3 linked regions of the Macaca fascicularis genome follow. The protein of the gene in region 3 purifies or fractionates together with the protein of the main gene of each other region. This does not show direct contact. Links are inferred from orthologs where the notes say so. Each region holds a gene or a part of one and is shown on either strand. Other genes may lie near its edges.

Region 1 (3,586 bases), on a different chromosome or scaffold from region 3:
GAGGACCGGGCTGACTCATGTTCACGGGATACAGGTAATTGAGCGCAGACTCACTAGCGTTTCTCACCTGCACGATAAAGACTGGTTGTTGCTGACATGGAACTGACCTACCTGTCCCCCTCCTCAGCTAAGAACGTGGCTGCAGACATTGCCGTCCAGCTCTGTGAATCCGTTGCCAACAAGCTGGAAGGGAAGGTGATGGGGACGTTCAGCAGTAAGTACTGCCCTAAGTGAGAAAGTGCTTATGTGTACCAAGAGGTTAAGTGCACAGACCTCTGTTCTTACGAGGTATGTGACTTTTGGCAAAATCCTTAACCTCTAAACCTCTGTAACCTAGATTTTAAGGGTTATTGAGAGGATTAAATGAGTTAGTCCTTGTAATGTGCGTCTGTTCTGGATTTCTGGGAAAAGAGTCTAGTTAACTGTCTTAGTCCCCTTAGCTCAGAAAGGTGTTAGGCATTTTTGAGAGCATTCTTTACACAGCTGCAAACGTCCTCCACCTCCTCTTTCAGCGGTGACTTCCACAGTAAAGCAAGCCCTACAGGAGTCCCTGGTGCAGATTCTGCAGCCACAGCGTCGTGTAGACATGCTCCGGGACATCATGGACGCCCAGCGTCGCCAGCGCCCTTATGTCGTCACCTTCTGTGGTGTTAATGGAGTGGGGAAATCTACTAATCTTGCCAAGGTCAGTGCAGTTCCCCAGCCTGTCGCTGATATTTGTGTACTTCTCGTGTCTCAAAATCCTGGCTTTAGGTGACTTTTCTCACTTCTTTTTCACAGATTTCCTTCTGGTTGTTAGAGAATGGCTTCAGTGTCCTCATTGCTGCCTGTGATACATTTCGTGCCGGAGCTGTGGAGCAGCTGCGTACACACACCCGGCGTTTGAGTGCCCTACACCCTCCAGAGAAGCATGGTGGCCGCACCATGGTGCAGTTGTTTGAAAAGGGCTATGGCAAGGATGCTGCTGGCATTGCTATGGAAGCCATTGCTTTTGGTACAGTGCACAGGAAGTCGGGGGGCTTATTTGGGGTCCCTTTTCCTCCTTTGGTTCTCTTGGAATTTGCAGATCAGGCTTGTGCTACTACAGACTCGTTAATTACAGTAAAAAGTCAGATCAGTTACTTGCCATGCTCTGCTTTTGGGTAATAGATATAGTTGCAGGCAAAGTTAATACACCCTAACCAAAGAAGCCTGAATTTGGTCACCTTTATCCTGTTATCCTCCTTTTCCTGAACATGTTTGGTGATGGCCAAGCATACAATCAAGTTTGTCTCACATTACCTTGGAACCAAATCCAGGGCCCAAGACAGTGAACAGGTAGCCAAACTAGGATTTTCTGAAAGGAAGCTGGGAATGAGATTAGTTGTAGTCCAGGTTTTCAGAGTTGACCACTTTCTTTCTTTAGCACGTAACCAAGGCTTTGACGTGGTGCTGGTGGACACGGCGGGCCGCATGCAAGACAATGCCCCTCTGATGACTGCCCTGGCCAAACTCATTACTGTCAATACACCCGACTTGGTGCTGTTTGTAGGAGAAGCCTTAGTAGGCAATGAAGCCGTGGACCAGCTGGTGAGAGTGTGGGCCCAGTTCCCTTTACAACTTAAGCTTTAGTCAATGTACATGGTTCTTACACTTCTGTCACCTTTTTTCTTTCCAGGTCAAGTTCAATAGAGCCTTGGCTGACCATTCTATGGCTCAGACACCTCGGCTCATTGATGGCATTGTTCTTACCAAATTTGATACCATTGATGACAAGGTAAACGTGAGACTGGAGGGTGGAGTGGGCATCCTCCGCAAAGGAGCTGAGGCTGCAAGGAAGCCTTGGCTCCAGCGCTTCCTGTTCCTAAGAGGGCGAGTGAAAAGTGGGCTCGTGTTGATTGGCTGTCCCCTTTCTCCACTTAGGTGGGAGCTGCTATTTCTATGACGTACATCACAAGCAAACCCATCGTCTTTGTGGGCACCGGCCAGACCTACTGTGACCTACGCAGCCTCAATGCCAAGGCTGTGGTGGCTGCCCTCATGAAGGCTTAACATGGCTCTTGCCCAATACCAAATCGCCGCTTTCCCCACAAGCCCTTCTTCCTGTATCAAGAATGTGCTTTAGAGTATGTGAGCAACTTGTCTTCAGTGTAGTACAAAGGCAGAGCGAGGGGGCTTGTGGCTCCTTCCAACCCCATTCCCCGTTCAGCACAGCCGCCATCTGCAAGGAGGGCCTAATCATGTTAAAATCACTGCCCACTGACCCTCTCCCAGCAGGTCTCCCCCTTCCTACTCAGGCACCCCCTTCACTCTGCCTACATACTCAGTCTCATTACAGCTTTGACCAATGGTTGGAACCCAACACCAGAGCTTTGCTAATAATTAGTGTGGTCAGGAGCCGTCTGAGCCTAATGAGTCCCAGCTGCATTAGGTTAAGAGACTCTTCCAGAGCCAGCGCCAGGTCTTGAATGGCACCTCTCCCTAGGATACACAGCCTGCAGGTCCCCAGGACCTGGATGACACCCGCCTCACTGTGGCAGTGTATTGCCTGTTAATTGCTGCTAATTCTAATTCTGATGATGATTCCTACTCCATTGTTTACCCCAAAGCGTCAGCTAGGCTGGAGTGATTTGTTACAAATGAGCAAAAGATGAGTCCCTGCTTCCCTCAGAAATAAAGGGAGGTGAGCTGCAGGGTTGCATTGGGCTTCTCCGCCTCCCAACTCTTCCCATTCCCAGAATCCAGAAGTCAGCTTTGCATGTTCCCCTTCCTGGGAGGAAACCAATTGTGAGAAGGGTATATGTTGCCCCCTCCCCTCCCATCCTCCTAAGCAGTCCTGGCTTTTCCTCATCACTCCCCTCTACAGTGCCTGGTAGACAAGTGCTACGTTGAAGAATACAAACCTCTTGTTAAGACTTGTCCTGTAGCTTGATATTACAGATGTGCTATTAGTGCAATAAGGTGAAGGCTGTCTGCCCAGAGAAATAAGTAATTTATATAAGAAAATAAATTTCATAAATAAATTGCCTTTTAGGTCTTGGAGTTCTTTTATACAGGATTCAAAACTAAAATTCCACAACACACTAACTATAGTTCTAGGGCTTATATATGGTGAGGACAACAGAGCAGAAGTTTACTCCAAGGAATCAGGTAAGTAAACGGTTGTCCTAAGAATGAGATCACCCCAAGGTGAAAGATGTCAGAACCTTTAAAATTGGGGTTAGTAAAATTAAGCTTATTAGTTAGTACCGTGATGCAAGTTAGAGTCTTCTACAATGACTCTCAAAGTAGAGCCAGGGTCCTGGCAAGTAAATGAACAAGCTTTTAATACAGCTCAGTTATGTAAAATACTGTACACTGTAAAAGATCTAGAAAACTAGAGCTTCAAGTCATGTTTTAAAAAAGCCATTAAGCTTAATTGAAAAACCAAGTATAGAGTACAAAACTGCAACAAGAGCCACAGTGATTCCATGGCATCTAGACCCCGAGTCCATGCAGAGCTGCAGCCAGTCAGTGGAGGTATCACATTGGTGTGCTGTGCGGACACAAGCATGTCCAGCCTGGGGAGTGGGTCGGGAGCTGCATTTGGGTCCTGCTGTCACTTTTA
Region 2 (3,647 bases), on a different chromosome or scaffold from region 3:
TGTAGTCCTTCAGTATACTTCATGAGAGAAAACAACAACAAAAGAATTTTTTTAATAATGGTACCAGAGGCAGGAAGCTGGCCGTGGGAGCCCAGGGGAGAGCGCATAAGTAGATACAGCTACAGCCATAGCAGTCAGCTTGCACCCCTGGAGTGCAGTGGTTGAGATGGAAAAGTCGATTACCAGGCAGCACAGCTGTGTTTTAAAAGTTTCTCCTGAAAGCAGGGGCGTTGTTCACACTAATGCTCTCGGTCATCCGGCACCGGCCACCATGTTGCTGCAGCTGGAAATGGGGGCTTTGCCAGTGGTTCCTGGAGCGCAGGTCCGCATTCTTGTTAGACTCTTGCCTGAGTTCAGTATGATGTCATCCTGAGTGTGTTTGTTTCCTCGCAGTTTGAACAGGAAAATCAGCGACTCATTGGTGAAATGAACAGCTTGTTTGATGAAGTGAGGTATGTTTGTGGCTCCTCTGTGAGCTGAGAGCCTGCTTTACAACTTTCCAGGAACTAGGAACGTTATTTACCTTGGTGCCCAGGCATCCACATGGGGCCCCTGGGCTGGTGCAGCCCCCCTCAGCCATTTTGACAGGGCTGGGGTGGGCATGTGGCCTGAATCTACAACTCCCTCAGCCTGTGGGCCTGTGGGTTACCTCCCGCCTGCTGCCACTGCTGCGGGGGGCCCAGATGCTTTCTACCCCAAGAGATGCAGGAGTGACTGCAGATTACCTGCGTGTAATTTCCACCACCATTTGGGCTGTTTCCATGCAGCGACTCTGAAATGAAATGGGGCCCTCGTGAAGGACAGCTGACCAAGGGAAGCCCTCTTTTGCAAATGGCTCCACTGGGGTCTGCCTGCTCCTGTACCCCCCAGGGGGTCAGGAATGCAGAAGGCAAGGCCTTGGTCACCCACACGTGCACCCACTGAACTCTAGTTTCTGTGGGAAGGCCTGCAGCATGCTGAAAGTAAGGCCCGGGACTTTGCAGAGCCTGTTGTATTGTGGACATGTCCCCCAAATCAAATCAATCCTGATGCTGCACTCACACAGCCTGAGGATTTTCTCAGTGTAGGTGTCAGCCTCCCAGGGGCTCTTCGCCTTCTGCCCTCAGATGGACCTCCTAGTCCTCCTCCAACAGCCTACCTTTCACTGTCCGTCCCCGCTACTCCCCCATGCCCAGATACTCACTGGCTTTTCTTCCCCCATCTCCTCCCCTGCCCTCCTGCCACTGTGACACTGTTGGGATTCGTGTCTGCTTCCACCTGGCCAGGAGCTCAGCTCCCACCACTTTTCGCCTCCTGCCACTTCCTGTCGCTGCTTTGTGCTGGAACAGCAGTTAACTTCAGCCTGGGCCAGCTTCCGTTTGTAAATAGATGGGCCCCCACCTGTCCCCCAGGGTAGCCCAGGCTGCCCCTGACACCAGGAAGATGGCTAGCCCAAGTGTTTCCGATCCGACAGAACACTCCATTGCCAAACCAAGACATGGCATTTTCTAAATGAATCAGAGGAGCTTTTTTCTTGGAACAGGGAGTTGGTTTGAGGGTAAATACACTTTTTTCTTTAACCCGCTGAGCAGTAACAAAGCAGGATCATCAGCATATTCTGACCTTCTGAATCCCCACCATGTGTTACCATGGTGACAAGGCTAGGCAGAGAACTTACTGGAGACTGCTTTCTGTAACTGGGGCATAACCAGACCCTCCCCGGTCCTTGACCAGTGACACAGAATGCAAAGGGCACTGCCCACACCCACCTCTTGGGACTGGGGCTCAGTTGGCATGGTCGAGTGGACTTCCAAAAAGCCCAGCGTGCTAGGCTACACCGGGAGACAGGGAAGGTGACCCAGTAAGGAGAGTTTGCCTTCCTCTCCAATCTCTTCCCCCAGCCAACATGGTATGCTCCCCCGTCTCTCCCACCTTCATGTAGAAGACAGGATTTCTTTAGAAATGTGTAACAGTCCTGTTAGATTACCAAGTACTAATAGTTAATATGTAATCTATTCTTCTTTTTATGAAGGCAAATCGAAGGGAGAGTGGTTGAGATTTCCAGACTCCAAGAGATATTCACGGAAAAGGTTTTGCAACAGGTAAAAACAAAAACAAAAACAAAGTAGCTGTACGTTTTAACTTAAAGGGGAATGTACTTGAGAGACATTTTCCCAAAGGCTGCTGCTCTGCGCAGCCAGGAGCAGAGCCATGTGTTGCTAGCAGGTGTGCGTGCGCAGAGCTCCTCAGGGCAAAGCTCTCACTACCCAGAGCTGCCTCTGCACACGTGTGACGGAGGAGGAGCTCCCCACAGGGGATCCACTGGCCCCACTGACCACGCCGTGTGGTGGCGCATGCAGTGGCATGTGGGAGGAGAGTCCAGGCCTGGCAGTCAGGGTTCTGGATGTGCTGGGTGAGCTAGGTAGCCCGGCCAGGCAACAGTTTCCATCTATAGATTGGAGTGACCCCTGCAGGGTTGTTCTCCATTTGAGAGAGAACTACAGAACGATGCTGACGGGCAGTTGCTTTTCTGTCAGTAGAGTTACAGGAGCTCAGGCCCAGGCCTCTCACAGTGCGAGGTCCATGCCGCCTCAGGGATGGTGCCTGCATGGGAAATAGGATTGTTCTTTTCAAGTCAATTTTCTGAAATTCTTCCAGCCAATAACTGGCAAAACTTTTAGTGACCTAATAAATTTGCCCTTTTCTTTTTAGCACCCAAAGACAATGGGAACGTTTTGTCTTAGTATGTTAAACTACTTAACTTAAAATACTTCTCTCAAAATGACTTTCCATAAACCACACAGCCAGAGTGAAATCATTGTAAATGAGGTACATTAAGTCTAACAGCAGTTTGGAAGTTCGGGTTCATAGGAGTTGCTCTTTTGAATAACACTACCCTGCTTCAAACCTCCCAGCGGCTGCAGGGGGCCTGGAAGGGGTGTGCAGAGCACAGGCAGAGCCTTGCCTTGGCTCACCAGGAGTTTCTTTTTTTATTTTTTTTTATTTTTTTTGGAGACGGAGTCTCGCTGTGTCACCCAGGCTGGAGTGGTGTTGTGATCTTGGCTCACTGCAACCTCCTCCTGGGTTCAAGCGATTCTCCTGCCTCAGTCAGCCTCCCGAGTAGCTGGGATTACAGGCATGCCACCACGCCTGGCTAATTTTGGTATGTTTAGTAGAGACGGGGTTTCACCATCTTGGCCAGGCTGATCCCGAACTCCTGACTTCAGGTGATCCACCCGTCTCGGCCTCCCAAAGTGCTGGGATTACAGGCATGAGCCACCAGGCCCGGCCCACCAGGAGTTTCTAAGTCCTGAGGAACGATATGTGTTTCTTGTTTTTTTCATCAGTGTTACATTGTAGTTCATATTGATTCTCTCATTGGAACCTTGGCAGTGGTCACTTAGCTCACACTTCGAGATTCTCTAAAATGGGGTGATGACAGGGCAAAGCCATCTCGGTAATATTCATTGCTGGGAATAGAGGCCAGAGGCTGCCTTCCTCCCTAAAATGTGTCAGGTTTCTCTAAAAACCCACACTAGCATTCATTCCACCCGACCGTGTTAGGAAGCAGCTTCACCACCGCCAAAAGGAGGAGAGAAGCAGGCACTCCTGCTCATAAGGCCGTCTAGCACCGTTGCTGCTCCTGCGGGGCCAGACGCCCCCTTGTT
Region 3 (4,412 bases):
GCTGGGATTAATAGCTGTGAGTCACCAGGTCCAATGCCAGTTCCTCTCTTTTTCCTTGTCCCTGTGCACGTTGAGGTTTTGTGTGGCCCTGAGTGTTATCAAGCTAAATGACAAGCAGAGAGGGAGGCTCTAAAAGAAAATAACATTTATTCACGAGTAGGCATTGCAGTGGGAATATGTATGCCATTTCAACTATGTGCACATTCAGGGAGGTGTAAAGGAAGACAAAGATTTTTAAAGAAAAAATGAGTCAGATTCCATAACTGTTTTGAGATAATTATCCTCGGCTACAAGGATCAAACAGCAAGGATAGCATCAGTAATAGGCTGGACAGGCAGTTGCTGGGTAGCTGTCCTCACAGACATATTTTTTGTGTGTAAGGTTGCGATGCCCTTTGTGCACGGTTGTGGTTTTTGCAGTCTTCTGTGACAGTTTTTGTCATCAGGCATTAGTGCATGAGAACCCTCCCTCCACGGCCTTTCACCAGCTCCATTTTTCTGATTTAAATAAATAAATAAATAAAGTGACTCCATTTTGATTCTGACAACTTTTTCAATGGCAATGTGGAACTGTAGTAACTTTTTTCAATCTTTCAGTGACACTGACATCTTCGTGTCTCTACTCAGTCATACAATTAAATTAAATCATGTGTACATTTTAAAACAATGACAACCTGTTTAATGACAGAGACTGTGAACTGGGACCCTCGAGGTTGGCCACTTTTGGTGTTTTATTTGGGCCACAAGTTTTTGAATGCTTTCAATTACCTACCAAAATTCCAAAAGTGGAAAACTTCCCATAAAAACCTGCCTTTATTGCTTCTCTTGAAAACTGGAAGAACTGGCCACCTAGGTCCCACAACACCTACCTGGCTGAATAGGGTCGGCCCCACTTTCAGCAGAAATAACCTCTGCAGTTTTCAACAGCCCCAGCTCTCCTGGGCGTTGACTTTCCTAGTTGCTTCCTTTAATGCAGACGTTTGAGTTTGCAGCCCTAGATTGACAGTGTAGGGGCACTGAATTAGTTAGCTTTCCCACGCACATCATTTCTTATACTCATTTTCTTCTGCACAGCACCTCTTTTTCCTTTAACCACTCGCACATGCTAACTCGTTCTTCAGGACTCAGTTCGAATTTCCAGAAGCTTTTCTCTGAACTCATGATGGACTCTGCGTCCCATTATGTATTCCCGCATCGCTCCGCGCATCCATCTGGCACATCCCTTGCCACATTAAATTAATATTAAATGTTTGTAGGATGCTTGAGTTCTTCACAAGTCTCACGTCACTTAGCGACGGTCAGGAAATCCTCAGTGGTAGTTTCGGGAGTCATTCATTTTATTGATTTCATCATTCTTTCAACAGCCATAACGTACGTGACGACGAGTGACTCGTATCTTCAAAGATGTGTGTGTCCCTCGACCAATAACCTGTCTGCCCCTGTCGTTCTGCAGGAGGACCGAGTACCAGAGAACTACAACTCCCATCAGGCACTTGGGGATCACCGCGGCTGAGGGCGAGACTAAGGCTTAGGAACCACCATTCGCGTGAGGCTCTGCTCCCTGCGCCTGCGCAGAGTGTAGGGCCACGTCGCTTTTGCGGTAACAGAGACCACGCGTCTCATCCATGGCTTCCGCGGACTTGCGCCGGGTGGCAGATGGCGGCGGTGCTGGGGGCACCTTCCAGCCCTACCTAGACTCCTTGCGGCAGGAGCTGCAGCAAACGGACCCAACGCTGTTGTCAGTAGTGGTGGCGGTTCTTGCGGTGCTGCTGACGCTAGGTAAAAGGCGGCCGGTGGTTATGGCGGGTTCGGGGCAGAGGTCCGGGCTGAGAGAGCGCCTTGAGGGCATCAGGAGGGTGAGACCCACCCAGTCTACACCCCACCCTCTCGCCTGAAGCAGCGGCAGCAGCGGGGCGTTAAGGGAGATCCCGGGCGACCCCCGGAGTTACATCCTGGTCTTTGGGGCGCGGATTGCTCTTCGTCATCTTCCCTGTCATGCTTGAGTGCGCTATTCCCCACCTTCCGCTGTTCTCAGTGCAAGGATTCAGGGTCTTGACAGCAACTTTCAGCCTATACCAAGGTAGTGAGATCGCACTTGAGTCCCCAGTCAGAGTAAGGAGTGCAAAGAAAAGTTGACAGTTGACACGCCCGGCTCAGTGGGCCCCTAACAACAGCAATAGTAACCATTATGATAAAAGTCAGTTCCAGGTGAATGAGGTGTTTCATCACAGACTTCTGTGAATTTCCCCACCCCAGCCATGCACATATACTGATTGCCAAGGCGTAATTTCTGTTGTTTTTCTTTCTATTCCACAGTCTTCTGGAAGTTAATCCGGAGCAGAAGGAGCAGTCAGAGAGCTGTTCTTCTTGTTGGCCTTTGTGACTCCGGGAAAACGTTGCTCTTTGTCAGGGTAAATGATTTCATTTACACCCCTGTTAAGCTTAATAGAAAATTGTATAGCATCCCAGTATTCCTGTCATCTCATGGTTTATTTTCTAAAAGAAGCTGATGCTGGTAAATTTGAGAGTTACCAAATTTACTTGACTTACTTGGGAGAACAGAAAGACTCTTAGAAACCCATAATTGAGAAATGTTGATCATTTTTCCTCTTTTTTCTTTCTTTTTTTTTTTTTGCCCTTGCCAGATGCTGATATTTAGTCTTTATCACATTTAAGGGTTTTATTTAATTAGTTTCATTCCAGAATAGCAGAAAGCACAGAAGCCAGTGGTCTACAGTTTATCATTCCTTGGTTAACAAATTCTTATGAGAGTTTATCAAAGACACTTTTTCACAGGATGATCCTTCTTTGACATAGTGGGCTAGTTAGCTTCTTTTTACTAATATTTATTTTTAATACATTTAGTATTTTTAACAGTGTGTTTTAACATGGTGAATAGGAGAGGTTTTCTGCTTTTTAACTTTTCTTTCTGAGAGTATAAATTATTTCCCTTCCATTCAAGAAATAGCTCAAATCTTTTTTTTTTTTTTTTTTTTTTTTTTGAGGCAGGGTCTCGCTCCAATGCCCAGGCTGGGGTACAGTGGCGAGATCTCCGCTCATTGCAGCCTTGACTTCTGGGACTCAGATGATTCTCCCACCTCAGCTTCCGAGTAGCTGGGACTACAGGCGTGCGACACTAAGCCCGTCTAATTTTTTATATTTTTTGTAGAGATGAGATTTCGCCACATTGCCCAGGCTTCAAATCATTTTTGATGGTTAAAAATCTTTACAGAAGATTGGGAAATTTGGCCACTAACTGTCTTTTGAGAATAATGTTATTTTTATACCATTAAGGAGTAAAAGTTGCAATTAATTCGATTTTTTTTTCTACAGGTAAAAAATATTAATATGGTCTTTTTCACCTATTGCAAGCAGCATTCATTTACTTAACCTTACACCTGGGAGACTTAGAATAATATAACTCAATTTTGGTTTGCTATTAAAATGTTGAATATCTCCCATCTTGTTTTTTTTACAGTTGTTAACAGGCCTTTACAGAGACACTCAGACTTCCATTACTGACAGCTCTGCTGTATACAGAGTCAACAATAACAGGGTAAGATGTTTGTGGAGTTTTGGAGTCTGACAGTCTTACTTTACTGTGGTGTGTCAGTTAAGGACATTTTTAGGATGAGTTCATCTGAGGATGTAAGTACCATTTGTAGCTTATTTTTATGGAGAAACATATTCTTTGTGACAAATTCTGCTCTTGACAATCTGTACAGTAGATTTAATCATGCCCTCCTCTGCATTGTTGTACCTTAATGTACAGTAATGTTATATCACATTTTATTCTTATTTTTTGTTTCTGTGTCTTCTTTCCAACTTTACAGTGAGTTCTTAAGAGTGGGCATTAAACCTTTTATGTTTTGAATAGGTAATACATGCACGTGGTACAAAAATTCAAAAGGTTAGAAAGGATATTTGGTGAAAAGTAATTTTTGCTTTCCGTTCCCCACTACCCCATCTTCTCCTTAGAAGCAGTAACTTACTTTTTTTGTGTGTAGCCTTCCAGATGTTCTGTGCTTATATAAACATGTCTGTATATCCTTTATTGTTTTTTCTTTTTAAATACTGTTCTGCCCATTATTTTTTTTCATACAGCTGATACGACTTGGGCTTTTCTTATTCTCCTATATTTGTATACGTAGTACCACCTGGTTGGTTTATGAGCTGCATAGTACTCCACTCTGTTGCTATACCACACAATTAAATTCTTACTTAATCAGGACCGTGTTAATAGACATTTAGTTTTGTTATCATAACCTTTGTTTTTACAAGCAGTGCTGCAATGGATATCTTGCAGAGTATATAGGAGTATATTTCAAATATAAGGAATCACGGGTCCTGGCTTGGTGGCTCATGCCTGTAATCCCAGCACTTTGGGAGGCCGAGGCAGGCAGATCACTTGAG

The links.
Region 1: the proteins of SRPRB (region 3) and SRPRA purify together in Homo sapiens (affinity purification with mass spectrometry; 6 studies listed by BioGRID and IntAct, counting the BioPlex papers as one, with this or other methods). This does not show direct contact. The link is inferred for Macaca fascicularis from reciprocal best matches to the Homo sapiens genes SRPRB and SRPRA.
Region 2: the proteins of SRPRB (region 3) and STX18 purify together in Homo sapiens (affinity purification with mass spectrometry; 3 studies listed by BioGRID and IntAct, counting the BioPlex papers as one, with this or other methods). This does not show direct contact. The link is inferred for Macaca fascicularis from reciprocal best matches to the Homo sapiens genes SRPRB and STX18.

The regions. Positions count from the first base shown.
Region 1 is NC_088388.1:124,828,779-124,832,364, reverse strand, and holds the end of SRPRA (signal recognition particle receptor subunit alpha), read left to right. Parts: intron 1-127; coding exon 128-214; intron 215-512; coding exon 513-685; intron 686-780; coding exon 781-994; intron 995-1,405; coding exon 1,406-1,569; intron 1,570-1,657; coding exon 1,658-1,756; intron 1,757-1,902; coding exon 1,903-2,031; 3' UTR 2,032-3,002; downstream 3,003-3,586. UniProt on the Homo sapiens protein: Component of the signal recognition particle (SRP) complex receptor (SR). Ensures, in conjunction with the SRP complex, the correct targeting of the nascent secretory proteins to the endoplasmic reticulum membrane system.
Region 2 is NC_088379.1:8,633,604-8,637,250, forward strand, and holds part of STX18 (syntaxin-18), read left to right. Parts: intron 1-393; coding exon 394-452; intron 453-2,011; coding exon 2,012-2,081; intron 2,082-3,647. UniProt on the Homo sapiens protein: Syntaxin that may be involved in targeting and fusion of Golgi-derived retrograde transport vesicles with the ER.
Region 3 is NC_088376.1:36,714,423-36,718,834, forward strand, and holds the start of SRPRB (signal recognition particle receptor subunit beta), read left to right. Parts: upstream 1-1,590; 5' UTR 1,591-1,624; coding exon 1,625-1,778; intron 1,779-2,315; coding exon 2,316-2,410; intron 2,411-3,477; coding exon 3,478-3,555; intron 3,556-4,412. UniProt on the Homo sapiens protein: Component of the signal recognition particle (SRP) complex receptor (SR). Ensures, in conjunction with the SRP complex, the correct targeting of the nascent secretory proteins to the endoplasmic reticulum membrane system.